4 linked regions of the Astyanax mexicanus genome follow. The protein of the gene in region 3 purifies or fractionates together with the protein of the main gene of each other region. This does not show direct contact. Links are inferred from orthologs where the notes say so. Each region holds a gene or a part of one and is shown on either strand. Other genes may lie near its edges.

Region 1 (7,356 bases), on a different chromosome or scaffold from region 3:
TGCATTGAGATAATGTTAGGTTAAATGTAACTCACTTCTTTTCAGATTTCTTTTCATACTTGTATTAACTACACGTTTAAAAAAAAAAAAAACACTAAACCACAACTTATAATACCAAATGTGGGAATGATTTATGTTGCTGCAACTGACTTTGTCTGAAATAAAGAGTTTTCCCTTGAACAGGGTTTTATTAGGTACAGCTGCTAGAGTTCCAGTGATTTGAGGACATTTTCTTTTACATAAGAGGAAACAATAATAAAGAACAATACCATAATAGTTTGCCTTAATTATTACTTTAAGTAACAGTGGGATATTCTTGATTGATGATCAACTGTTGGGGATATTTGCTCCCTTCACAGAAACACAGTGAGCTTGAGGAAATTCTTTAAAAAGAAGCAGAAAGTATGTGAACATTTCTTTACAGGACAAGACAGTTTTTTTTTCCAGTGGAAATGTTAGTGCAGTTAGCTGGCTAGCCAATATTATGAGATCTATCAGCTATCTTAATGTTGGCTATCATTTCATCCAAATTCAATTAAGACATAAAATGTATTTTTTATTTTAGGCAGTACTGTACTGTAATGCCAAGAATGAGGCCAAGTTCACTCTGACAATATTGACTGACTTTGTTGTTTTCTGAAATTGCAGTGATCCAGAATACATAAAAGTTGTCAGCAGAGGGAAGCATGAAGTGCTGTAAGATTTTGTGGGAAAACACTGCACTGACTTTAGACTTGATAATAAAACACAGTGGATCAACACCAGCAGATGACATGTCTCTCCAAGCCATCACTGATTGGTGGAAACTTCACACTAGACCTCGAGCAGTTTGGACTGTGTGTCTTTCCACTCTTCCTCCAGACTCTGGTCTCTTAATTTACAAATAAAATGTAAAATGTACTGATGATCAGTGATGGTTTGGAGAGACATGTCATCTGCTGGTGTTGATCCACTGTGTTTTTTGTTGCGACGCATCAGAGCGAGAGTCTATAAAAGGGGGACAGAGTCCACTGCAAATCACTTATCGTTTATCAGGACTATACTAATGAGCGATAGTGAAGGAGAGCAGGGACCAAGCTTATTTTCTGTATATTTAGGAGAGGAAGATCAGCTCTTTTCTACAACTTTGTGGTAAAGGCATTTCCGGTCCCATGGTGTAATGGTTAATCACTCTGGACTTTGACTCCAGCGATCCGAGTTCGAATCTCGGTGGGACCTAATTATACTTTTTAGGCCACACATTAGGAAGACTTATGTGCACAGTAACTATAAGCTATTATTAATTTAATTAATAATAGCTTATAGTTACTGTGCACATTTGTAGTTTTACTTTATTTTAAAGTAGGCTCTAGGCTCTGTTTTTTTTGCTGTGGTTCAGAGGTGATGTGCTTAGTTTTAGCAGCTTTTATATTGTAATAATCAATTGTATACACAGCTGTTAAACAGGAGATTACAGCTCATTCAGAGCAGAGCTGAGCCTGTTGTAGTTCAGCTAACTATCCCTGTAGCCTAGCTAAGCTAACCTACACATATAGGTGCATTTCGTAAAATTAGAATATCATTGAAAAATTACTTTGAGTAATTCAGTTCAACATATAAAACTCATGTATTATATATACAGTATATGTATGTATATATATATATTACACACAGAGTGATCTATTTTAAAAGTTTAGTTCTTTTATTGTTGACGTTATGATTATAGACTATAATCATAACGTCAACAATAAAAGAACTAAACTTTTAAAATAGATCACTCTGTGTGTAATATATATATATATATATACATACATATACTGTATATATAATACATGAGTTTTATATGTTGAACTGAATTACTCAAATAAAGTAATTTTTCAATGATATTCTAATTTTACGAAATGCACCTATATGTGTTGGTTAGCTTAGCTAGGCTACAGGGATAGTTAGCTGAACTACAACAGGCTCAGCTCCGCTCTGAATGAGCTGTAATCTGATGTTTAACAGCTGTTATTAATCTAGTTACCTGCTGTTTATCAGCGAGCACGTCTTCAGCTGCCACTTCTACCTCCATCAGATACTCCATCACCCTGCTGGAGTCCATCTCCCTCCTACAGCAGCAGCAGCACAGCTCCTCACACAGCGAGTAATTATACAAAATAAGTCCCCCAGTCTGGGGAAACAAGGACCGCGCGATAATCAGTTCCGCCCAGTTTCAAAATTAAAAATCAGTAACTACTGACACACAATCATGCCTAAAATACTTTTTACACCCTGAATTACCTTTTCATATTAATAGTTGAACTTTAATGCACACAGACACACAGAGATTGGTACTATCAGAGCCGGTTTATGAAAAGCCTGCCCACTCCCTATCGGTCCCATTATATCAAATTATAATTATAATTAATTATAATTATATAATTATAATTATAATTATATTTATAAATTATAAATTATAACATTATAACTGCACACTAGAGAGAGCCCGCGAGCGAGACCTAAATGAATAGGAGTGAATGGAGCTAAACGGCTAAATACACTAATTAAAAACTTTAGTAACTAAGATTTTTATATCTACTAAGCAAGGATCATCCTTTAATTTTGAAACAAAAATAATGAATTCCCATACGGAGGAAGAAATACAGAAATAAATAAGTGAATAAATAAATGAGAAAACGATTTATAAATATATGTAACAGACGTTAAAAATACACATATAGAAATATATTAAAAACAATAATACAGAAATTATTTGAAAGAGGAAAATATACATTCTCATCACAGTTTACATGGTTAGTTACCTTTCTTTTAGAAAAATCTCCGTATATCCAGATTAGTTTTAACGACAGCTGCTCCGACTAGCTGCCTGAACTCACAGCGAGGGGAGGGGCGGGGCTTCCCCCACACTAAACAGCTCTCCGCAAAACCAGCAAGCTGATTGGCTGTTTCTCCTGAAAGGCGGGACTTTCTCCTTGAACCGGCACCACGATTGGTTAAGAGACACACAGCGGTCAGTGCATTGTCGCCTGTGGCCTATATATTTTTTTATTTAGTATAATACGGGAAATTTACGGGAAAATACTAATACGGGAGGAGAGGAGTAAAATACGGTAGTTTCCCGGCCAAAACGGGAGACTTGACAGGTATGACTTATACATTTCCATTTTTCTACAGAAAACAGTTTTTTATTTATTTACTGATATTTTACCACAACAGGGTAAATTAATATAAGAAATAATACAATTATCAAAATTACTATGATTATTTGTTAAACTTAAACGGCGCCCGCTTTGACCGGTGTTGGTCGGTCCGAGCTAATGTTGGCAAGGCCATGAACTCACAAGTTGACGTAGACAGCTTTTCCTGATCGACTCATTTTTCTGAGGATTTTCTTTTACTAGCTACTGCGGACAATGGAGGCTGAGAAACAGTTTTATATGAGACATACAACTCAGAGAGCAATAGGAAAAAGTGGATTTTAGCGGAAGGAGACCTTTATTTCTAGATTAAAAACATTGTATTCTAATGTTTCTCTCTCTGGATGACAGGCTTTTAATCATTATAGTTTTTGTGTCCTTTTTCCTAACATTTTTATAATTGTAACAAGTAACGATGCAGCACATAGAAAATGTATAACAGTAAAAATATAAAACTCATACAAAATATGTATTGAAGTAAAAGTGGAAGTAGGAGAAAAAAATAATACTCTACAGGTACAGCATTTTAATACTTAAGTACAGTAGTGGAGTAAAAAGAATACTCCAGTAGATACAGATCCAGTATTTTAGTAGAGAAGTAAAAATAATACTTCATTAGATACGGCATTTTAGTATCTAAGTACAGTAGTGAAGTACTTCTCTGGTTTTAAGGTACACAAAAATTCAAAGTGTCACTCGGGCCTCCAAATTCCCCAGCTCTCAAAGCAATCCACTGTGGGATGTGCTGAAACAAAACGTTTGATCCGCAGAGGCTCCACCTTGCAACTTACAGGACTTAAAGGCTCTGCTGCTACCGTCTTGGTGCCAAATACCTCAGACAACTTTCAGAGGTCTTGTAGAGTCCAGAGCTGGTTAGAGTTGTTTTTCAGTGATATGTGGAAGACCTACAGAAGTTCACTGGTGTATTCTTTAAATCCACAGAACAAATATCAAACCTTCCAAATATTAGTCACACTATCAGGCCTCACGTCGAGTAATAACACAATATAAAACATTTTTTCTTCCCGAGTTCTGTTATATTTCAACTGCTTACATATAAACTCAATAAAAAACACCAACATTCCTCATGAACTTTGATTTTATGACAGTAGCCTATGCTAGTTTTATATTTATTGGGATAAAATACAAGAATTGGACTTGTGCTTTATCATAGAAACAATCAACATTTCACTACAAAAATACACAATTATTATAAAACTTGATCAATGCTGCGTATAATAGCTCAAAAATGAATATATGTTCTATATGCAGACTGTACTGCAGATCACTTTCTCGGCCCGTTCTTTCTGTAATAATGTGCACTACTATGCAATGCAACAGTATGCCTTGCAAGATAACAATAAACATTCAGAAGTGTGTTGTCTTCACAGATTTATGACTAAACTGCAAATTACTTTCACGTATTAGTCCATAAACTACCCTCCATCATGTTCTCCTTATACTGTCCTTAGTAACGGCATTCAGAGAAAAAGAAAATGTCCATAAAACACTGCAACTACAGATTAAACAGTTGGTAATGTAGTGCTAATTGTAATTTTTTTTACAAGGAAAATACTTAAATTTTTGTGTTTCTTTGGTCGCTTGTGTTGCCATCTTCCTAATGCTTCCTTAAATGTGCCTCTAAAAATTTCATAACTAAATAAATAAGTGGTAGGGCCAAGGGGCGATATAGGACAGGGCCAAAGGCTATATTTCGTGAATATTCTTAATAATAAATACATTTAAAATCTCATTGTGCTGACCACAAAAGCAAGTTTATGGGGAATAATACCTTATTTCTATTCACTTGAGGCACAAACAACAACAACAAACATCTGGGAAGAAAACATATATGCAAAATTGTTACGTAGTGTAATTCACACTGCCTTGCCATGAGCACAATGTCTAGTGTTCAACATCACTCACAAAATAAAACTTTTACAGGTTTGGGAGTTCCCAAGCCATCCCCTGAGGTAACGCTACATGATTAACTTTATGAACATAGTGCTATCCCATGTCTTTTGGCAATTTGTTGTATTTGTATTTTTTTGTTAATTGTACAACAAAGCACAACGTTTTTGAAAAATACACAAAACACCTCAAACAAGCATTTTTTTTACTTAACAAGAAGTCATAGTCAAGAATAACAAACAGCAATAGAAAATGACACACATTTACATTCCTCAGTGTGCTGAAATACAGTGTGCTGTGATGAAGACTAATTTTGTGAGGTACTGTTATCATCTGCTGTAAAACTGGAATGCTTCAGTCCCAATTTCTGATCGTGGCAGTCTTGGGTCAGTCATGTAACAGAGGAAGTTGAATTATTAATATTGCCAAAAATAATCTGTTTCCAAGCTGCACTTCAACTTATTATATCTCCTAGAAAAATACACATTCATCTTAAACATAAGTGAATTACACTAAAACATCAGTATCATTAAATAATAACTGTAACATTAACATAACTAGCAATGATAAAGGAAGAGAAACATGCTCTGGCTGTTTGTTCACAAAACAAAATAACCAAAAAAATACAAGCAACATACAGCAGTGCTTGAAAGTTTGTGAATCCTTTAGAATTTACTATATTTTAAAATAAATATGAGCCAAAACATCACAAGATTTTTACATAAGTCCAATAAGAAGATAAACCGACCCCAGTTAAACAAAGGAGAAAAAAAATCCATGGTCATTTATTTATTTAAAATATATACATATATATACATATTTGTGAGTGGTAAAAGTATGTGAACCTCTAGGATTAGCAGTTAGTTTGAAGGTGAAATTCAAATTAGAATCAGGGTTTTTCAATCAATGGGACGACAATCAGGTGTGAGTGGGCAGAGCCTGTTTTATTCAAAGAACAGGGATCTATCAAAGTCTGCTCTTCACAACACATGTTTTTGGAAGTATATCATGGCATGAATAAAGGAGATTTCTGAGCACCTCAAAAGATAAGTTGTTCATGTCCATCAGGCTGGAAAAGGTGGAGTTTGGACCCTCCTCAGGAGAACACTGAACAACAATAGAGTGCATGTCAGTGTTTCGAGGAGAAAGCCACTGTTCCCCAAAAAGAACATTGCTGCTTATCTGTAGTTTGCTAAAGATCACATGGACAAGCCAAAAGACTATTGGAGCAATATTTTGTGGACGGTTGAAACCAAAAATAGATCTTTTTGGTTTAAATGAAAATCTGTGAAACATGGTGGTGGTAGTAACATGGTTTTAGACAGCTGGCCTTCATTGATGGAACAATGAATTCTGAATTATATTAGAAAATTCTTAAGGGAGATGTCAGGACATCTGTCTATGACCTGAATCTTAGGGTGTACTCACACTAGGCAATCCGAACCGTGCCCGGGCACGGTTACCTCCCAAAGCACGGTTCGTTTGGCTAGTGTGATCGCTCCGAACCGTGCCCGGGCCCGCTTGAAGAGGTGGGCCCGAGCACGGTTCACTTGGACCCGGATCAAGATGACGTCAGTGATGCGATGCTACTGTAAACGGAGGACGTTTTATACACAATTCTGCATATAATATTTTTGAAAAGGGTTCTAAAGAGCACCATAATGGTTAGTGTTACCCATAATAAATTAGGACTACTATCTACAAGTCCTAAACAACAAACACATTTTATTATTACTTGAGTTTTATGTTTCGCTCCTTTGGTCACTATTTATGTATATAGCAAGTACGTCTCTTACCTTACTGATAAACGTGAATTGTAGTCCGCGAGTAAAGCTGCAAATTTCTCCCTGGACGTCTGCTGCTTGTGTAAAAACCTTCTTACACGTGCAGCACAATTAGCAGTAAATCGCTGTGTTGCACAATCAATGAATCTCTGGTTCAGTTGCGTATTTGCACGCCCAAAACGACTCCAGAGAAACAAAAACAACAGTACAATCCTGAACTCCATTGTTTTGCGCGCGCATACTGTTCTTCAAAACAAAAGTCACCTGTTGACGAAAGCGTGCTCGGGCACGGATCGTTTAGCGCAGTGTGAGTGCAGGCCTGCGGGGGAGTGGGGAGGGGGCCGAACCGTGCTCCGGCACGATTCAACCAAAACGGGCCTAGTGTGAGTACACCCTTAAGAGAAGGTGGGTCATACAGCAAGACAACAACCCTTAGCACACAAGTCATTCTTGAACCAAAGATTGGTTCAGGGAGAATAAAG
Region 2 (7,380 bases), on a different chromosome or scaffold from region 3:
ACATTTTTCGTATGTTTGATAATTAATTACTCCAAAATGGTAAAGTAAAATCACTTGATACTTATGTTATTAATAGTATAGAATGTGTTTTTCAAGACTGTCTCGGTGGCATTGGATAACAATTTGATTTGCTGGTTTTATGCGACCTTAAAATCTGGTTTATACACAACTGAATAGACATTTTTTCTAAGTTTGGTATCCAATTATTTCAAAATGATACAGTAAAATCACTTGATACTCATGTCAATAATAGTATAGAATGTGTTCTTCAAGACTTTGTTAGTGTCATTGGATAACAATTTGATTTGCTGGTTTTATAGGACTCTGAAATGTGGTTTATGCACAACCGAATAGACATTTTTTCCAAGTTTGGTATCCAATTACTCCAAAATGATACAGTAAAATCACTTGATACTCATGTCAATAATAGTATAGCCTGTGTTCTTCAAGACTTTGTTAGTGCCATTAGATAACAATTTGATTTACTGGTTTTATGGGACTCCGAAATCTGGTTTATGCACAACCAAATAGACATTTTTCCAAGTTTGGTATCCAATTATTTCAAAATGATACAGTAAAATCACTTGATACTCATGTCAATAATAGTATAGAATGTGTTCTTCAAGACTTTGTCAGTGCCATTGGATAACAATTTGATTTGCTGGTTTTATAGGACTCTGAAATCAGGTTTTTGCACAATCGAATAAACATTTTTCCTAAGTTTGGTATCCAATTACTCCAAAATGATACAGTAATATCACTTGTTACTCAAGTCATTCATAGTATAGAATGTGCTTTTCAAGACTTTATCAGTGGCATTGGATAACAATTTGATTCAATGGTTTGTAGGACTTTGAAATCTGGTTTATACAGAAGTGAATCAACATTTTTCGTATGTTTGATAATTAATTACTCCAAAATGGTAAAGTAAAATCACTTGATACTTATGTTATTAATAGTATAGAATGTGTTTTTCAAGACTTTATTAGTGGCATTGGATAACAATTTAATTTGCTGGTTTTATAGGACTCTGAAATGTGGTTTATGCAAAAGTGAATCAACATTTTTCGTATGTTTGATATTTAATTACTCCAAAATGGTACAGTAAAATCACTTGTTACTCATGTCATTAATAGTATGGAATGTGTTTTTCAAGACTGTCTAGGTGGCATTGGATAACAATTTGATTTGCTGGTTTTATGCGACCTTAAAATCTGGTTTATACACAACTGAATAGACATTTTTTCTAAGTTTGGTATCCAATTAATCCAAAATTATACAGTAATATCACTTATTACTCATGTTAATAATAGAATGGAATGTGTTCTTCAAGACAGTCTCGGTAGCATTTGATAACAATTTAATTTGCTGGTTTTACAGGACTCCAAAATCAGGTTTTTGCGCAACCAAATAGACATTTTTCCTAAGCTTCGTATTCAATTACTCCAAAATGATACAGTAATATCCTTTGTTACTCATGTCATTAATAGTATGGAATGTGTTCTTCAAGAATGTCTTAGTGGCATTGGATAACAATTTGATTTGCTTGTTTTATAGGACTCTGAAATCTGATTTATGCAAAAGTAAATTAACATTTTTGTATGTTTGATATTTAATTACTCCAAAATGGTACAGTAAAATCACTTGATATATATGTTATTAATAGTATAGAATGTGTTTTCCAAGACTTTGTTAGTGCCATTGGATAACAATTTGATTTGCTGGTTTTATAGGACTCTGAAATGTGGTTTATGCACAACCGAATAGACATTTTTCCAAGTTTGGTATCCAATTAATCCAAAATGATACAGTAATATCACTTGTTACTCATGTCATTAATAGAATGGAATGTTTTCTTCAAGACTTTCTTGGTTTCATTGGATAACAATTTGATTTGAAGGTTTTATAGGACACCGAAATCTGGTTTATGCACAACCGAATATACATTTTTCCTAAGTTTGGTATTCATTTACTCCAAAATGATACTGTACAATCAGTATACATGCATGACATTAATAGTATGGAAGGTATTATTTAAGGATTTCATGTTCTGATTTAAGAAGAATTAGATTTTTTTGGTTTTATAGCACTCCAAAATCCCTTTTATACAAAACCGAATAGATAGTTTTGGTATTCAATTACTCAAAAATGATACAGTAATATCACTTCAAACATATATCTGGGATACATGAGAATAAGATCTTTAAGAATTTAGGGCTGTGATTTTATAACAATTTGATTTGCTTATTTAATAACACTCCAAACCTTTTCAAAACGTTACACTGTTCTACAGATAAGAAGTGGTCTTTCTGGTGTATATTTGTGGATTAGACCTCGTTAAATCATGTTTATTTAGGTGTAAAACTCGTTTCTGTTCCATTTTAAGTCTCTGCACGAGAAGCGCCAGTCTCCGCTCCTCCGGGTGCGCTGTGCACGCTGCTACAGTAAAACACGGTTTAGACGCGCACTCCAGTTTTCGGTGTGGATAGCGCGACCGAGCGTTTTCTAAGTGCAGATGGCGTGACCGCGGTAATATTACATGCACGTTCTGTGTTGCTGGTAATATGACTAGTCCGAATGATTTCAGAGATCAGTAAATCTGATATTATTACTACACTAAAAGTTCTATATCTGATTAATGATTTGATGAGAGTTTTTATTAGTAAAACAGAATTAGACCTGTATTACTGGGTTATTTTAGGCTGAATCGGTTTTACCATACAGGGTGTGTTTCTCTCACACAGGCGAAATCGATCCACACACACACACACAGCCGTACCTTTCTGGACCTGCTGGTATTTCTCCAGTTCAGCCTGCAGTTTCTTCTGTATTGCTTCTGCCATGCTGCCGCGCGCTATAAACAGTTAAAAAGTGTTTAATTCAACAGTAAATAAACCGGATTAATCCCTCTGCACCCTCAACCATGCACACCAGCCCTCAGCGCAGTCAGAGTGACGCACTCATTCTGCGACCAGCACCGTAGCAGAGTCAGATCTCCCCCTGCTGTACTTTACTGGCAGTACACCCCCTCTATTTAAAATACCCCCATATAACCTTAAAACACACCTAATTACACATAAAACACCACATATAACCTCAAAACACACATAATTACATATAAAACACCCCACATCACATAAAACACCCTATATCACCTAAACATTTACATATCTAAATACACATAAAACACCACATATCAAATAAAACACCCCATATCAAATAAAACACCCTTGTCACCTCAAACATATACATATCTAACATACACATAAAACACCACATATCACATTAAACAGCCCCATATTAAATAAAACACCCTATATCACCTCAAAAATATACATATCTAAAATTCACATAAAACACCACATATCTCATAAAACACCCCATATCAAATAAAACATCCTATATCACCTTAAACATATACACTTATAAAATATGCATACAATAGCCTGTATCACCTTAAAATATACCTAAACTACACATAAAACACCCTATATCACACAAAACACCCCATATCTCCTCAAAACACACCTAAAATATACATAAAACACCCCATATCTCCTTAAATCACACCTAAAATATACACAAAACTCCCCATTTGACATAAAATACCCTATATAACCTCAAAACATACATAAAACAAATAAAACACTCTATATCAATTAAACATATACACTTATAAAATACACATACAATTGCCTCTGTCACCTTAAAATACACCTAAGCTACACATAAAACACCCTATATAACATAAAACACCCCATATCTCCTCAAAACACAACTAAAATATACATAAAACACCCCCTATCTCCTCAACCCCCCTCCTAAAATATACATAAAACACCCCATTTTACATAAAATACCATATATAACCTCAAAACATACATAAAAACGCACATATACATATCACATAAATACATATCACAATACATATCACAATACATATCACAATACATATCACATAAAAACACCCCATATCACATACAGCACATTTAAATACACATACAATATATATCACCTCTAAATTACACCTAAGCTACACATAAAAAACATCCCATATCCCACAAAACACCCAATATCACCCAAAATACACACAGAATACACATAAAGCACACTATATTACCTCAATTTTTTTTTTTTTTATCTATTTGGTCTTTTTAATCATTTTATATGCACTTCAATTATAAGATTTTTTATTAATGAAGAACTTTTTTGCTTTTCAAAAATGTCCAGTTGTTTTTATTATACTATTATAAATTTATTACAAAATAATAATAAAAAAAACACTTGTGTTTTTTACTTGAGAAGTAAATGTATTGTGTTTGCTGTAAGTGTAAGCAGTGTTGCTCCTCCTGCTCTGTAGGCGGCGCGCTCTCCCCGCTCTCCCCTCTCTCTCAGCGTGTCAGCGGGCGGCAGTATGGCAGCTCACATGGTTTGAATAAGGAGGCACTGAGGGAAGAGTCTGAAGGTCTTTGGGTGTTTGTGAAGAGAGGAGTCGCTCTGACAGGTAACCTCCTGCTTTTACTGCTTTTTCCCGCTTTTCTACTGTAATATTATTAATATTACTACACTGAGGAGAGGCCTGGCTGCAGGGAGACAGAGGGGGTTTGGTGGATGCTGTACTGGTCAGTGTTGTTTATTGCACAGCAGTGTTATTATTGTGCTTTAATTCACACTCAGTAGTAGTTAACACTGCCTACCACGTGTTCTTGTGTGTTTATATATGTGTATATGTTGTCATTGGTGTACAAGCAGCGTATCTGTTAATAGTGGTTTACATTTGTGCTGAGAAAACAGTAAAGCAAATTGTAAGTCAGTCCACAACCACCTTGACAATTAAATATACATAAAATACCCTATATCACCTCATAATAAACCTAAGCTACACATAAAAAAACACATCCCATATCACATAAAACACCCTATTTTTCCTCAAAACAGGCCTGAACTACACATAACACCCTTTATCACCCCAAAACACACACTGTAAAGACCAGTTAACTAGGATAACAGCAACTGCCTTTGTCCTTTTAAACTAAAGCTCTCAGGCTGGATATTTTAGCAGTTAGTCTAGTCCAGTTATACATACTGTAGCTTTATATTAGCACTCCTAGCTTGTATCTCTCCCTCAGAAAAAAGCCATTACACTCACAGTTTTTCCAGATTGTTAATACACATTTTTTGAAAGCCTGCCTCATATTCTCAAAACTCTACACAAATAAAAAAAAAAAAAACGCACACGATAGGCAAATATTTTTATCTCTTGTCAAAAAGGTGTTTTGTTTTCAGATAACACACATAAACTGTCATATGAACAGATATTTATAAGAACCAGTTAAACACTGATGTGCTCAGTGTAAAACATGATGAATGGAAAACACTTCTTCTCCATTTATCATAATGACTTAGTCCTTTTTATGTTTAATGTTATTCCTACTACAGACAGTACATACATATTTGTGTTGTATAATATTTTATAATATTACTTTTATACTCAGAAAACACAAATACACAGTAAAAATGTATATATAATATTTTATTATAGACAGTCTACATCCCAACCAACACACAGTTGCATGTACAGTGGTCTACATACAAAACAACAGAAGAATTTACTGTATACAGTTAAAGTAAAAAAAAAAAAAAAAAAATATGCTGCATCTGTTTCAGTCAGCCCACAGCACCTCATCCACATCACAAGCACAGTTTTCCCTGGATACGCAGTGGGGAAATATGCCCTAGCATGATGAATCCAGACATGAAAATAAACTGTACAGATAGTAAACTACTGTAAATAATGTGTAAGAACAAAAAGTATGAATACATTTCCTAAATAATTGAAACATACTTTATTTTTGCAGAACAGTACACAGGCAATACTGTACTACTACACTCATTAATACTCTTTTGATATACATCACTGCAATTTTCTAGTGAGAGTAGATTTCTCAGATGATGGATGCTACAGTGTACCTCAAATTTGGCTGAGCTCACTTGTTTCTCTTTAATGCTAAAGCTGTATTTGTAATTGTAAATCTGTATAAAAGGCATTTGCCCATGTGAAGAGTCGGTGCATAGTAGGGTAACTACCTTTAGAGTTTTTTGAATAACAGTTCGTTCTTTGTATAAAAAGAGCTTTTCTTCATGAAAATTGTGTGTAGTTTGTTTTAGAACTGCAGTTTGAGTGTAAAGTTCAGGGGGTTGGTACATGGGTTACATGTTGTAGTCAGTGTGCCTCAATTACCAGTATTTGTGTGTAAATAATTAAGAAAAACGGTAACACTTAAAAACACTAAAAAGAACGTAAAATGTGTCAACATTCACAGTGGAATGCAGAAGTTTGGTCTCACAATTAAAACAATAAATCTTTTACTGTCAATAGGGTAAGATATGGGTGTCATTATTAGTCCCCAAGCAGGGAAATTCACATTGTAATAGAAGCAATGGGATAGCAAGGCATTCAAAAGAATAAAGTAAGAAAGGAAGTATAAGAAAGAATAGGGAAATTTGTTTAAAAAAAGGATATTTACTACTGCACATAAAACATGTATGTTAAATTTAGGCACTTTCATAACATCAGGATATTTTTTTTGTCATTATTTGACTGTGGTGCTGTGTTCTTGTTCTTAAATTGTATGATGAATGAACCGATTGAAATGGTCAAGAATAGGGATGCACAATATTTGCTGTACCAGTCACAATTTCATGAAGTGTTTTTAATCATTTAATTTATTATCAACATTTTAGATACATTTTAAAGACATGAAAAAAATTAAGGCACATGTGTGGAATTATGTAGTAAACAGAAAAATGTTAACCAGTAAAAATCCAGCTGAGATGGATGATTTGGGATGATGGGATGAATTCTGGGTCACGCTATTCAGTTAATTAATTAAAAGTGTTTTTTTTTTAATTATTCCTTTTAAAGTTGTTATAGTTAAAGTTATAACAGGGTTTATATTCTCTCTGTTTTAAGTTATAAATGTGCGTATTGTCATTGGCAGCGGCAGATGGTGTGTACATGTGTAATATCGGCCCAGAATTCCCATATCAGTGCATCCCTAATCCAGAATTAGTTTGTTTATCAGTCCTTTATCAGCCTGGTGGTTTTTCTGGTACCAGTGTGTTGGGAGGCCATCCTCCTCTCTGTAAGTTTCCTTCTCACAGTATGAGATCAGGCCCACCCACAGGTGTATAGCTGAAGCTATGTCTGGCTGTGCAGTCAGTCACGGGTACACAGGGAGTACAGGAGCACAGTGCTGAGCACACAGTCTTGAGGGTTTCCGGAGTTGAGTGTCAGAAAAGAGGATGTGATTCCACCCATTTTTACCACCTGCTGTTGGCCTGTCAGGATGTTCAGAATCCAACTGTGGAGAAAACTGT
Region 3 (7,364 bases):
ACCTGTGTACACCCATATATATATATCTTCACTATACACACACCCTACTAAATATTGTAAGTTTAACACATACACATACAACTTGTTTATCCCATTGCCTGTGTTACCCTCTTGTGTAAAATTTTGTTTTGTTTTGTTTTTTTAATTCGGCTTCTGCGTACCATTTGATACCTTCTGCTCGTGTATGACCTCATGTAGAACTGAATCTTTTTTATGGTATGTTTGCTCTCTGTTGCTGTTGTATACTGGTGTTGTCCCTTAACATTTTGACTATCCCCTGTACCACTACTTTCATTAATAAACCATCTTATTTGTATCCTGTAAAGCCATCACGGACAGTAAAATGTCTTATCAAACATGAAACCTTTTTATTTAATGCTTGAACAGAAATCCTCCAGATTCAGGCATGTAATATAAGGCAGAAAATTGTCAAAAATGCTGGCCTGTTAAGGGGTTAACCAGCTTAACCACCTTCAGCTGGTCATGCTGTTTATTTTTCAGCTGGGTACAGGGCAATTCTGGTGTCACACCACCCATTTTTAGGTGTTTAAATCCTATTTATGGTAACATCTCAGACTTGGAGGCAGGATGTAAATGCAAGGAGGTTTTAATAGATGCCATAAAGCAAAATAGCAAAGAATAAAACAAAGCTGAGACTAGAAAAGTAACTAAAAAATATCTAGACTAAGATCATACTTTCAATAACTGAAGAAAAACCACTAGCAAAAACATAATAAAAAAAAACACTTTCAACACCTTCAGACCTGAATTATGTTTCAGTGACAGAATATTATATGAATGCTGTTTTCTGTCTGTAATGTATGCACAGAAAGACAACAAAACAACAAAAACATTAAATTCATTTTAACGTCCATTGTATTGGATTGCCTGTTAACATTTTTATTTTATTTATGATAATGACTTTGATAATAACCTCCTGTAAACAGTGAAATAAACGTAATAAAAAGTTCTATCACATAAAATTAGGAAAAAAGACCCTAGTGGTGGGCGGGAATATTCTACTGTTTCATTAGCTTGCAAACTTCTTATTGACTGGTTCATGATCTGTTCTGATGGACAACAGGTCTCAATTAGTGTAATGTGCAGCAAAACATCAAACAAAAATAAATGATGTCCATTGCAATGGACACAGGATCTGAAACAATGTTTTAACTAATGCAGTGTATAACCAGTAGGTGGCACAAGATCTACATCTATTCATTTTCCCATAAGCAGCTGTGTGGAACTCACCTGAGATCCTTCTCACTAGAGTTAACCACTGAAAAATAGGCTCGAGCTGGATAAACTTACTGACCAGTTCTGCTCTTTATTTACATAAAGTAAGCATAAACAAGCAAGCTGATCAGCATGACCAGCAAGACTCATCAGGTCAACCATCACAACCAGCTTGACCAACATCACTATTCTGGTCAACCAGCATGACTGAAATGCAGCAGTACACACTATACTGGTCAAGATTTGGTTCCCCAGTTTTTGATTGGATGGCCAACATTTCAATCAAACTCAACTCAACAACTCAACCATCAAAGGTTAGCTTAGACTTCAAAAATACAGCCTTCAGCAAAAGCATGAATTGTAAATAAATTGTAAATGTAAAAACGTGTTTTTATTAATCATCTTTCAAATCCAAATGCTATAAAGAAATAAACACAGAAATTAAACCTCTGCTTTTGAGTTGGTTTTGTTTTCTGTTCTTTTCTAATAAACACGGACACTTGCAGATACTCACAGACGTTTATTTGATAAGGGGATAGGCTTACAAGAGTAGTGAGGGGCAGGCAGGGTCAGTAACAGAATGGCACGAATGTAAACAACATACCAGAGAAAATTATCAGGCAATCTAGGGTCATCCATGAAAAATCCTGCAAACAAAAAGAAGAAGGCAAAAGGGAGTCAAATATACAAAAATAAGGTCGGTAGCAAGGTAATGAATAGAATGGGCAATGGTAATATAAAACAGGTTGGTAAAAAAAAAAAGGAAAAAGCCATGGGATGTGTCATAGGAGAGCTAGAAAAAATAGATTACTAAATACTCAGCAAAGAGCGAGCCAAACTAAGGGGTATATATACAGGGAAGAGCAGGTGAAAACAATCAATAGCTTGGAGAGCAGGAACACTGTAGCATCACGTGATCAGTAGTGTGAGAGAAGTCCAGTGTTGGGTGTATGCTAGGAAATGAAGGTTTTAGGGACAAGTTCAGAGCCTGGAGCAGACAAGCCAGATGGAGAAAAACTAGTTTAAGTGATTGGAAAACTTGCATTCCTCATTGGAGTGAAGAATTCAGGGTGCTTTCAATGTTTGAACAGGCAGTAAACATCACTTTGAACTGCTAATTGCTGGTTAACCGCCCGACCCTTTTACATCTGAAAAACAGCACAAAAACATATTATTATTATGTCTCCTCTCTACAGATTAAATGTCTTTTATTATTGTTTTTGTCTACATGATAGCCTTTACAGTTATCTGCATTTCTGCATGAATGTGATTAGAACCTTCTAAAAGAAGGTAAAGTAAACCAAATAAAACAAATGCTGCAATAATATTAATGCTTTTACATTTATTTATGAAATAAAATTGTTGAAAATTAAATATCTTTGTTTGAAAAAGTATATGAACCATTGCTTTCAGTAACTTGTGTGACTTGAGGCTTGGGGATTGGAAAACATTTTGTATTTCTCCCAATTTAACCAATTATTAAGCTGCATTTACACTGTACTGCCATGTCAATGCATATAAATGCACTGCCCCGCTCCAACTGGTTGCATGTGGGCGTTACAATGACATTTCGTGGGTTGTACATTTAAATCAATTTAATAATTGTTGGTTAATGGTTTAATACAAGCTTTATTTCCTATTTCCTATTATTTTCCTGATCAGAGTCCCTGTAAATCAGCAGGGATTGATCATAAAAGACTGGAAAGCCCGAAAACGCAATTTCTATCGTTTCCTCCATGCATTTGAAACCGTTTAAAACCATTGTGTTCGATAGATCCATTTGCATAAACTTCACCTCGCAGTGGAACAGTGTAAATGCATTACACAGCATTAAAAGATCCAATCATGTATTTGGGGTCATCGTCCTGCTGCATGACCCACTTCACACGAATCCATACAGATCCATTGACCATTTCTAAAGTTGTAATTTCAAAAGTTAGATTTTGACTGACTCTTTTGACTGTCTGTCTGCCCGTGCCTGTATACGTCAGTGTTGATGCTGATTAAGGACATTATTCAGAGACTCCATGTAATGATATTCAGCTACTTTCAGGTGTCCCCCTCACTGCTGACACAGGCTTGTTCAGTTTTGTACCCGCAGAAAGAGGAAAACATTGGCAACAGAATGGGATGCTCTGCACATGCTCTGCAAGGTCACAGTGTGCCTAGAACAAAACACTAAATAAACTGCTCCACAGAGCTGACGGATGTTTTAGTTGTAGCTTTAATCTTTAAATATAGTTCACCTATGCTGTTTCACTAAACTGACTACATTTAAATTGTTTACACACATTTTTATAGCTCTATGAAGTAAATAAAATATGATTTTAGGTGTGTATTTATTAGGATAAGATTGGGTGACACTATTTGTGGACACCCCTTAAACCCCAGCTTAAGGTGTATCAATTGCTGACACTGGATGTTTACACCAGGAGTGGCATAAAGTTATCCAAAAGCAGTGTGTAAGACTGGTGGAAGAGAACATGCTGAGATGCATAAAAACTGTGATTAAAAAACTGAGTTATTCCACCAAATATTGAATTCTGAAACTCTTAGAACTTTATAAATATGAACTTGTTTTATTTGCTTTATTTGAGGTCTGAAAGCTCTGCATCTTTTTTTTTTGTCTCAGCCATTTCTCATTTTCTGCAAATAAATGCTCTAAATGACAGTATTATTTTATTTGGGACTTGTGAGAAATGTTGTCCGTAGTTCATAAAATAAAACAACAGTGTTTATTTTACTCAAACGTATACCTATAAATAGCTAAATCAAAGAAACTGATTCAAAAACTGAAGTGGTCACATAAAGTGTCATTTGATTGTCTTAATATTAATTTACAATGTAGCAAATAAATGAAATAAATACAGAAAAACACCTAATGAGAAGGTGTGTCCAATTTTTTGACTGGTTCTGTATAGCTACTGTATTATATAAGTTATATTAATACATTAATAATTTGTAAACTGTGCACTATTTTGTGTGTAGATCCGGTGCTGTAGTAAGGCTGACATACAGGACAGTGCACTGCGAAAGACACTGCTGCCTCCTCTGTCTTGACCAGTGTATTCTTCCGCCACGCCGGCGCCTGACATACGTATTCCTCCGCCCCCGCCCGGCGGTCGACTCGCAGGCGCAGCAGCGCACGGAGGCTGAAGCCGCTCAGGAACTTCTTAAGCTAGCTGAGATAAATGAGCCTGAAACACGTTATTTAGCGTATATTTCAGCCTATAAAATATATAAAACAGGTTTAATGAGGCTTTAGCCGCACATTAGGTGGTAGAACGGTAGATAGGACTATAAGAAAGGTGTATATTTGTGTAGTTTAGCTGGCGAGGTATGGCCGACATCGACAAGCTCAACATAGACAGCATCATTCAGCGCCTTCTGGAAGGTAAGCTGGCTAACTAAACTCAGATTTTAAAGGTTTTAAAAGCTTAATATGTTGAACAACAAGCTAGAACATATCTCACAAGACTGTATATATTTTTAAATAGGATTATTTGTGTGTTAAATTCTAGCTTAAATAAGGGTAGGGGGTCTGTAGCCAGCAGGGTCTAAGCTAAGCTAGGTTAGCTAGCTGGTGGTTAACCTAGCTGACTGTTAGCTTTTGCTGTCAAGCAGGAACATGTTAATAATAAATATCGATGAAAATTCACCCCTTAATTCAGTGTTTATTAGTCCTTTTATAAGTTTTAGTTGTGTCTAATTTGATTACTATTATTTTAAAGACACGATATAAGGAAATAAACAGAATTATTGCCTGTTAACGCAATTTTTAGCTTTGAAACGTAGGAAAATTGACGTATTGTAGGCTAGCTAAATGTCTATAGACGTAGTTTTATTGTCTGAATGCAGTTAACGTTATATATTGTCAAGCTAGTTTTTGTGTTTAATGTTTTAGGGTTTTTCGGGGTTTACAGTTAAAATCTAACTAAGCAATTTATTTTATAAAAGCAACAATATAAAGTAACATAGTAATGCAATTTATGAACTAGAAATATTTGGAATTTGCTATTTTAAGATATTTCTTTCGCTGATATAGATAAGTGACTATTCAGTAGTAATACAAGAAAAACTTTTTATTTAAAATAGCAAGAATAACAGAGTAAGGTCTATTTTGTGGAAGATATATTGTTCCAGAAAGTATTGCAATAAACGATATTATTGTCATTTTAAGACCATTAAATTACTTAAATAATAAGAACAGAATAGGATAACAAAGCATTTAAACACTTTCAAAGACAATACAATTTTAATAAACACATGACTGACTTAAATCATATTAACCAGCTAATTTGAGTGTTTTAAGTGTTTTAAAATTTAAATGTAACTAAACAATTTATTTAAAAAAGCAAAAATATAAAATAATATGACTATACAGTAGAATATCAGTAGTGTGGTTTAATTAATATTAGTACATTATTTTAAAAACTAAATATGAGGAAATGCTCAAAAAAAACAGTAATAAAAAAAAATAATCTGAATAAACTGGGTTTTTTTTTGTATAGGAAATATAACAAATGAACAGGCCTGTTATTATAAAAACAAATTGAGGATGACATAATTGTCCCAGAAATTATTGCGATAGATTACATTTATTGTCAATGCCACGTAAATAATGCGAATAGGACATCATCATAACAAAGCAATTAAACACTTTAAGACAACACAATTTAGTAGTCTAATAGTTAATAGTTAATCTAATAGTTAATCATGATTATAATACTAAAATACTGTTCACTGTTATGTATGTGAACAAACATACAAATAAACACAAATGTTTAATCATGTCCATTTATTGTTATTTTAAAAACAAGATATGAGGAAACGCACAAAATGAAAATATGTATTTTTTTATATAAAATAGCAAAAATAACAGAGTAAAATAAGCCTGTTGTGATCATTTTTTTTGTAGACGATGTATCGACCCAGAAACTATTGCGATAAACAATATTATTGCTATTTTAAGATCATTAAATGCCATAACACTGGCATAATAAGAATAGGATAGCATAACAAAGCATTTAAACACTTTCAAAGACAACACAATTTTATTTAATAATAACTAAAATACTAAAACTCTTGACTGTTGTATACGTGAACAAATATACAAATAAACACAAAAGATGATTATCACAAAAATTAAATGTGTAATATCGTTTTTTTTTTTGGTGCTATTATATTCACAAGGCGATTTGCTTGTTTTTAGGTTGTGGGTTAGTACTGGGCTAGATATTGTTATTTGTGGGATTTTTTGCAGGTCGTGTTGTAGACCAAGTTGCAGAATATACTGCAATTTAAAACTGTATAATTGTATTATTTCTTATGTTCTATTATCTGACAGTTGGCAAAACACTTTACTGACACTTGTACTATGTATGTGACCAATGAACTTTTATTTTTTGTTAAAGAAAACCTACATATAAAATAGCTATAAACAGAATAGGTGATTAGTAAAAATATTGGGTCAGTTAAATAATATAAATACTTAACTAAAAATAAATATCAGTTGGAGGCTGAATGGAGGATGAATATATTAATTTGGCTGTGTTTGTAACCCAATATGATTCTCTGTTTGTCTAATTAAATGTTTGCATATAACATATAGTTGTTGTTAAAACTTATGCTAAAAAAGTACTAAAATACTGAGGCTGACTTAAGTCAAATAACATTTTGCTTTTTGCAGAAAAAAAATTCTATAAATTGACAAAATTATTCTATTTAGCAGCTAATAAATGAACAAAATCATAAAAAGCAGCCTGGGCATCAGTGAATTGTTTATTTTGTTTTCAGGTTAAGCTGATGGAAGTGGAGAATTATTCAGTGAATACTTTATGCTTGTCTTTTTGGGTGGCACTGCAGGGGGTAGCCGACCCACTTTTCTACATGAGATTTGTCCTGTTTAAAAGCTCGGAGCATCTCTCACATCAGAGCTAGCGATGCTGAGGACTGACCAGCAGCTCCAGCAGATTCACTGCTTCGGCTGTACTTTTGGTTCCTGTGTGTCCTGCAGAGCTGGTGGACTATTCCTGGTTTTGGTTTCAGAAAAACGAAAGATGAACCTTCCAGTTTCCTGGAAGAAAATTTACAAGGGGACTGACCACAGCAGTCAGGAATTGCCAGTC
Region 4 (7,765 bases), about 4.6 Mb from region 3:
AGAGAGACTGAAAAATGTCAACACGGCATCGCTGTGCTGATATTTTTCATTCGGAGGAAAAAATGTAATGGCTCGTTGGGTAGCTTGCAGGATTAGTGTGCATGTTAATTGGACATAAATCAGCGTTGATAAACAGCGCAACATTGTGAGCGGACGCTAATACACTCAACAGTCAAATTTGAGACTAACATGGAAAATGCGAGACAAAACGATATGCATACTTTAGAACATGGGATTGTACATATTAGCATATTAGGAGGTCAAAATGCGAGACTGTTAAGCAAAATTGGTGTTGGCAGGTCTGGATGGGGCATACAGAAATTACAATGTTACCTCTTAAAATCTACTACTCCTTACTGCTAAGGCAAACTATATAGACAAGACGTTACATTATTTCCTCAGTCAGACTAACTTGATTCGGACTCCGATGGCTTTGCGGAAGGCCTGGCTGAGTGCCTCTGTCTTGCTCATCTCCAGAGAGAAGATCTCACTCCCAGCCAAAGCAGTAAAAGGCGTATCAGATCCAAGTGACTGAGCAATGCCTGTCCAACCAAAACAAAAGACTGTCATTGATGGGTCCCACAATATCAGGTAATAGCAGCATTAATCAAAGGCAGTTTACCTAGACAGGATTTAAGCCTAGTTTTTTGACTACACTGAATCTTAAGTGAAGATTTCCCATTGAAAGGAACATGTTGTATAGGACTAGGGAAACTGACCCATATTGTATATAAAATAGGAATTACAGTGGAAACTGTCCACTTTTAATAAACAGAAAATAAGGCAATTGTTCTTAATACAAATAGTCATACCCATAGCAATAGCAGTCTTGCCAGTCCCAGGCTGGCCAGCGATGAGCACAGCACGGCCAGCAATGTGCCCATCTTTAATCATCTCCAAGATTAAACCAGCAGCCCGCCGAGATGCCAGCTGACCCACCATCCCCTGAGAAACCTGAACAGCACAGAGCAAAAAAATCCACAAAAATCATTACAAACTATCCAGTTCACAAACATAATTATTGTACATACTGGTGCAAAACACATGAAGAAAACCAGTATACGCAGACCCACCTGCCGTGGCTCCAAAGCATCGTCTAGTCCAAGGCCTCGAATGTGTGAATGTGCACCTAAAACCCCAGACAACAAAACATTTTTATCCATAGTAAAAAATAATTTGTTCTAAGCTCAAGAGAATTAACGGTTACACTACATAACACTAGACTACATATTTAGCATGCATCATGTGTGTTCTAGTCATATGTGTCCTAATGTCCATCATCATCACTCACCAATCCTCTCTATCCGGGTGATGTCTCGCACCTCGGGCACTTTCGTGGCTGCCATCTTTGACAAACAGAAAGAAAAAAAAATCATTAGGCACCAAAGCACAGAAATAAATCATTTACATGAAAAATAACCAACTGTATAAAGTCTTTATACACTTTTTACCTGTAAGCATTTTCAACTTACAAATGATGTCCATCATCATGTACCAAGGTCTGGATAGAAATAGTTTCCATTTCTATACTTTCAACATACGCATTAATTAAAGTAATTTAACTGATTTAATTTAAATTATTAATGACTAATTTAGATTACTCTAAAGTACAAAAAAGTCTATAAAGTACAATAAAAACTCCACTTCCGCTTCTGAATCAGTTTCTCTTATTTTGTTATTTATAAGTATATGTTTGAGTTAAAAAAACATTGTTGTTTTATTCTATAAACTACGGACAACATTTCTCCCAAATTCCAAATAAACATTTTGTCATTTAGAGCATTTATTTGCAGAATATGAGAAATAGCTGAAATAACAAAAAAGATGCAGAGCTTTCAGACCTCAAACAATGCAAACAAAAAAAGTTCATATTCATAAAGTTTTAAGAGTTCAGAAATCAATATTTGGTGGAATAACCGGGTTTTTATCACAGATTTCATGTATCTAGGCACGCTCTCCTCCACCAGTCTTACACGCTGCTTTGGTATAACTTTATGCCACACCTGGTGCAAAATTTTAAGTAGTTCAGCTTGTTTTGATGGCTTGTGATCTTGACTTGTGATCATCCATCTTCCTCTTGATTATATTCCAGAGGTTTTTAATTTGGTAAAATCAAAGAAACTTATCATTTTTAAGTGATCTCTTATTTTTCCAGAGCTGTGTATATGTACATGTGTATATCTATAACAAAAGACAAAATCACATTTATAGTCACTAGTTAGGTAACGTTAGTTAATTAAGCACTGCAGCGCGTGCCTCAACAGTTCATGTTGCCATAGTGACACATGAGCCACAACAGTAGCTAGCTAACTTAGTAACGTTACATACGGTTAGCACAACTAAATTAAATTACTCTTTATAAACCATAATGTAGCTACAATAATATGTTTAATATTAACAGAGAAAGTGTCAGCTAGCGTCAGTGAACCATATGCTGAGCTGTTTACTGTAATGTAAGTTATCTGTAGGATGGTCAAATTGCTAGCTTTAGCTAACTTAGCCAGCTAGCATGCTAACACCAAGCTAACTAACTGAAGCTAAATATAAATTAACTAAATAAGACGAGCCAGTTGTTAAGATCAGCTAGGGGGCAGGCACTCAGAAATGATCAGAGACCGCAGGTTAAGTGTTTAAATAGTTAGTTAGTTGTATATACAGTACAGAAGCGCAGTGAGGGGCAGGTACACACATGTGCAGGAAGCTACGCTAACCCGCTAACTCGCACTCAGATATTTACAAAAGCCCCGTCTCTCTCTACAGCAGATTTAAAGCTTTACACACATTAATACAGTTTCTATATAGACCTAGGCCATTAAATAAGAGCTAGTAGAAGAATAATAAGTCTATATTTAAAGCAGAGAATCTCGCTCTCACCTGCGCTGCCATGTTTTCTCTCTCTCTCTTTTCGCGGCCGGCGGTTTCTGAATGGGTGCGCAGCCGAAATGCGCTCGTCTAGCAAACAGATTCACTACAGTTCCTCCTCACTCGTTTACCACTCAACTCTGAACTCACACACCTGTACTGTTGATAACATTCCTACTTTAAAAACATCATGCTATTATACATATTTTCCGGTGGCTCCCAAAGTGAAAGAAGTTCACTATATATTGTTTTTTTTATTTATCTAATGTTATGCTTTACCTTTTAGCCCTTTTATTTTATTTATTTTATTAATTTCATCTTTTTATTTGTTTTGTTACTGCTTTTACTTTTGACCTTTACGTTTTTATTTTATTTTATTTTATTTATTTTCTTAATATATTTTTACTTATTATTATTATTTATTTTAGTTCCATCATTTACATTTTTATAATTGTGGTTATTTATAAAGTAAATTCCTGAGAAGGAGATTTGGTTTTGAAGAGAATGCTTACATTGAGACCACCTCTTTTATATTTCTAGTCCTTCGTCTACGTGAATTATATTTATATTGAATTATGAATATAATTATACTTTATACTATATAGTTATATTATATATTATATAATTATATCATATTTAATTAATTATATTGCTGGTTGAAGGCAATACTATTGTTCAGCACCTCAAGACAAGTTTTTACAGGTATATGTATATAATACACATTTTATCCTTTTGTATTAACATTCATTTTTAGTGTTTTTTTATTAGCTATTTCAATATTTTGTTATTTTTTTCATGTAGATTTTATCTTTTATTTTTTAAATATTATTCTCTTGTTAATTAAATCTTAATTTAATCATTTTATCCCACCACTTACTCTTCTAATATGTTTTTCTTCCTAATATTTTAATTCGTTCAATTATCTCAATTAATTTTTTTATTCTGTTGTTTTGTTCAGACAGGTTGTCAAGTTGAGGACACTGAACTGACAAAAACAAGTCCTTCTAGGCTCTAAGCTGTCTCCAACTATCAAATGCATTGCCAGTATTTGCTTGCATTGTACTCTGTCTCTGGTCATATCACTTGCTGAGACTTTTTTAGCTTAGGTAGCATCTCGCTAAAGCTGTTTCTGCTAAACCAGTTTATCTTACTGGCTAATTCCATGGCTCCACACAGCTGTGTTTGCTGTTGTGTTGAATACCTGGCAACCCAGGGTGTGGAAATAGGATTGGGGAATGGGCGGTGGGTTGGACCAGAGACTAAAACACAAAAAGATTGCTCCTTTAAAGCACAGTATTTTAGTGTAGAGGCCAGCTTTCTTCCTGCAGATTTCAACAAGGTCAAATCTAATATGCCCCATTCAGCAACTCAGGAACTTCTGAAGGAGGTAATTAGCTAAATCTAATGGAGTGAAATAGGATTGGCTGCAAAGTCTGCAGAAAGATGAGGATTTTTTATTATGGTTGGAGACCACTGGTATAGGATATAGGGTGCCATTTGTAATGTAGCGTCTGGCACCAGTAGATGGCGCTCTTGTTATTTACTTAATCTACCCTGAAGCTTGTCTCACTTTTCACACATACTTTGTACTTATTTGCTGGGGTGGTTTGTTTAGTTTGTTGATTGACTACAACAAGAATGAAGCTTTCCTTCATTTGTAACTACATAATATAATAATTATTATAAAAACAAATACAATAACTTTGTCATTTCATAAATCTTTATTTGATTTCTCCATTTGTGCACACAGAACAATGGTGCCTTGACACACACACACACACAAATCAATAGTGTACATTCTGATTATTAGCTTTCTTCATGTTTATAAAACATTATTAATATGCAGTTACATTACATTTAAGCTGACATTTGGAGCATTTGTCTATACTGTATTTATAGTATAGTATATTAAAAATATTGTATAGTATATAGTATATTAAAAATAATACAATCACTGGCTCTGAAACACACGTACATTGTCACACATGTAATTTGACAAATATCATACACAGGTATTTTCCTTAAAAAAAAAGAAAAGAAAAAGAAAGTGGATTTTTAGTGACATTAAAAAAATCTGTTCTTTTATAATGATCAAAAATATATAATTACGCAATTCTTCATCCTCTTATACTACCCTAGCACACAAACAGCTCTACAACTGGCAAATAGTGATGGCCGACTCGTACCACACCCAGAAGCCAGGAAAGACCGGCTCACTGAAGGAGGCCTTGAACTGGTGGATAAGTGACATGGACTCAGAGACATTGTAGAAGGAGAGAGTGCCTCCATCGTAGTCCAGGAAGACCCCGATGCGAGACGAGTAGGGAGCTTTAATCTCCACCTGGTCTTTGCTGTGGCGAGCCGAATAGCTGGAGTCGGAGCAGAACAGGCTCCAGGACTTGCGGTTGTAGCCAAGTCGGGCCGAATCTCCGTAGCCCGTCCTCTTGATTCCTTTGTAGGTGATGCCAAAGGAGGCTCCCTCCCCGCTCCACTCCACCTCCCAGTAATGGGCCCCTCCGGACAGGGCCTCCTTGCAGAGAACCTGAGGAAGGCAGTCAAATCTCTGGGCGCTGTCACTGTAGGACTGAGGGTCTCTCTTCAGGGCTGCTTTCCTGTTTCCTCGGGATATGTAGAGCTGTTTGTAGGCTGTGTTAGAGTCCAGAGTCAGCTGGCTGGCATCTGTTGGACAGAACAGGAGAAATCACAGCTATTTACTGCTGGAGAATTTAGCTGATTTCAGTATAATTTGGCTACAATACAAATTGGCTAATTTCAATAAAATTAGGCTGTTTAGATTTATATTGCATTAGAATTTCATGATAAATTTACCAATAGAAATGCTTTAAATAATTATGAATAAAATCTTTTACTCACTTATTCATTAAAAATCTGATATAGACTTTAAGCTGCTTTTTAGAGATACGGTACAAGTTTTTTTTGTGGCAGTGACACTAAATGTGTTTCGAGACAAAAGATTTTATGTTCTTTTGTTGAGAACAGGAAAACAGATATTTTCCTCATTTTAGATGAACTATGTAAACATCACTTGCAATTAGGGACGCAACTAAAAATATTCATACAAAAAGAGTGGAATGTGAATAACTAATAATAAATTATACTCATTTATTTGAAGTCGTATTGCAGTATGTTCTCTAGAGTTAGGGTTTTTTGAGCAGAGGTGGCAGCCCTACATACCTCCGCTATTCTTTGAATAGCACTGCTGAGGTAAATATATTACGCTATGTTGGTTTATCTGCTAGTATATTAAAGTGTTAAATATTCAATAAATACTTTTAAATTGTAGTTTTGACAAAAATATCTGCAGGCTAAATATCTGCAGGCTATGAAACATACTTAATGTTGAAATTGATAAATAGTAGTATAAGCGATTTGCTTGGGAAATCACTTTTGGGAAATATCTAAAGAATCCAGTTATAGAGTAAGAAATTATTATCTGGACCTACATACAGAATTTTACAGGCATTGACATTAATAATCATACCATATAACAGGACTGAATACACCATTGTGTTAATTAATGTATGAATCTTGATCTATGTACAAACATTAAGTGAGTTATAGCTCTATAAAGGATTCTGTGTCTCTAAACAGTTTTATAAATATTATTAATACCAAGCTCCACATAGACATGGATTAAGTTAAAACATGGATGCCTCTATGTTAACCCACACTTAAGCATTTCACAACTGAGAAAAGAAAACAACGATAAATCCCCACTTTCAAGTGTTTCAAGACGAGAAAGACCCGAGATAACAGACCCTGAAGGTAAAGACTACCCTTAAAATAGGAGTGGTGACCTGAGATCATTTTTTTTTCATTATTGTTAAATGATTTCAGATGATTACAGACAGAAAGAGAGCTGATACAGTAAAAGTTAATGAGTACAGGCCCAGCCCACAGACAGCAGGTGAAGTGTATAGAGTCTGCCCACCTCATCGGCTCTCAAAGCTGGTTGTACATTAGGTGGTGGTGGCTGCCAGATGAACCACGGGGCCGTCTCTGATCTAGAGGGCCGAGAGTGGCAATATACACTTTAGACTGACTGCACATTTATGGCAGCTACAATGGAATATATGAATAGTGGTAAATTTGCTGCATTTGTCAGATATGAGTAAATTTACACAAAAATACATGCCAAAAGTAATAGGACAGAAAATAGTATCATGTCCCATGACTTTTGCCATGTGTCATAGAAGCTAAAGAACGCTGAACAAACCTGCAGTATATGTGTATGTGGGGGGTCTGCTGTATTGAATATGGATGCGATTCCTGCTAGAGTTGCTTCTTTTGTTTCATCTATTGTGAATAAAATATTCTAGCTGGTAACGATCATTAACACCTACTGAACTGTCCACTGTGGGAGGTAATGCCTTCTATTACAAATTCCCAACACAAGCATGACACTGTAAGTTATGGAATCTTCAATGCCACCCACTATCAGGCCAAATTTTTGGCATGTCAGTATATCATTTTTCAGTCTGTTTATAAGTGTAATCTTTGGGGATAGGCCGAGCTACACGCAATACTGGTGGCTTAAAGGAGAAATCCAGTGTGACATGGACTTGGGTTGTATTGAAAAATGATAATGAGTACCCCTAGCATTCTGAAATACACAGCTTTTAGCAGATGCTCCCAACAGGCTTTCAATACTAAAATAATATGAGAGAGACATAATGTTACCCATGCAAAGAAATTGCCATTTTTACACCATTAGCAATCTCAATGTTGCTCCAAACGTCATTAGTGCAAATCCAAGAGCCCTGACATTTAAAACATGGCACTGAGAGCCTTGAAAGTGCACAGATTATTCCTTATGTTTTTTTTCTAATTTATATCCCATTTTCTCCCTAATTTACAAGACCAATTACCAAACCTATTCATT

Evidence for each region.
Region 1: the proteins of ppp1cc (region 3) and pdrg1 purify together in Homo sapiens (affinity purification with mass spectrometry; 6 studies listed by BioGRID and IntAct, counting the BioPlex papers as one, with this or other methods). This does not show direct contact. The link is inferred for Astyanax mexicanus from reciprocal best matches to the Homo sapiens genes PPP1CC and PDRG1.
Region 2: the proteins of ppp1cc (region 3) and pfdn6 purify together in Homo sapiens (affinity purification with mass spectrometry; 4 studies listed by BioGRID and IntAct, with this or other methods). This does not show direct contact. The link is inferred for Astyanax mexicanus from reciprocal best matches to the Homo sapiens genes PPP1CC and PFDN6.
Region 4: the proteins of ppp1cc (region 3) and ruvbl2 purify together in Homo sapiens (affinity purification with mass spectrometry; 3 studies listed by BioGRID and IntAct, with this or other methods). This does not show direct contact. The link is inferred for Astyanax mexicanus from reciprocal best matches to the Homo sapiens genes PPP1CC and RUVBL2.

What each region holds. Positions count from the first base shown.
Region 1 is NC_064431.1:7,233,018-7,240,373, forward strand, and holds the start of pdrg1 (p53 and DNA damage-regulated protein 1), read right to left. Parts: upstream 3,020-7,356; 5' UTR 2,784-3,019; intron 2,153-2,783; 5' UTR 2,084-2,152; coding exon 2,006-2,083; intron 1,219-2,005; exon of another isoform or gene 1,146-1,218; intron 1-1,145. UniProt on the Homo sapiens protein: May play a role in chaperone-mediated protein folding.
Region 2 is NC_064417.1:45,648,111-45,655,490, forward strand, and holds the start of pfdn6 (prefoldin subunit 6), read right to left. Parts: upstream 3,003-7,380; 5' UTR 2,844-3,002; coding exon 2,780-2,843; intron 1-2,779. UniProt on the Homo sapiens protein: Binds specifically to cytosolic chaperonin (c-CPN) and transfers target proteins to it. Binds to nascent polypeptide chain and promotes folding in an environment in which there are many competing pathways for nonnative proteins.
Region 3 is NC_064408.1:10,500,875-10,508,238, forward strand, and holds the start of ppp1cc (serine/threonine-protein phosphatase PP1-gamma catalytic subunit A), read left to right. Parts: upstream 1-4,341; 5' UTR 4,342-4,575; coding exon 4,576-4,630; intron 4,631-7,364. UniProt on the Homo sapiens protein: Protein phosphatase that associates with over 200 regulatory proteins to form highly specific holoenzymes which dephosphorylate hundreds of biological targets.
Region 4 is NC_064408.1:15,128,985-15,136,749, forward strand, and holds the start of ruvbl2 (ruvB-like 2), read right to left. Parts: upstream 3,005-7,765; 5' UTR 2,887-3,004; coding exon 2,875-2,886; intron 1,347-2,874; coding exon 1,292-1,346; intron 1,130-1,291; coding exon 1,074-1,129; intron 955-1,073; coding exon 813-954; intron 543-812; coding exon 413-542; intron 1-412. Other genes in the region: ftr83 (finTRIM family, member 83), read right to left, coding at 5,015-5,541. UniProt on the Homo sapiens protein: Possesses single-stranded DNA-stimulated ATPase and ATP-dependent DNA helicase (5' to 3') activity; hexamerization is thought to be critical for ATP hydrolysis and adjacent subunits in the ring-like structure contribute to the ATPase activity.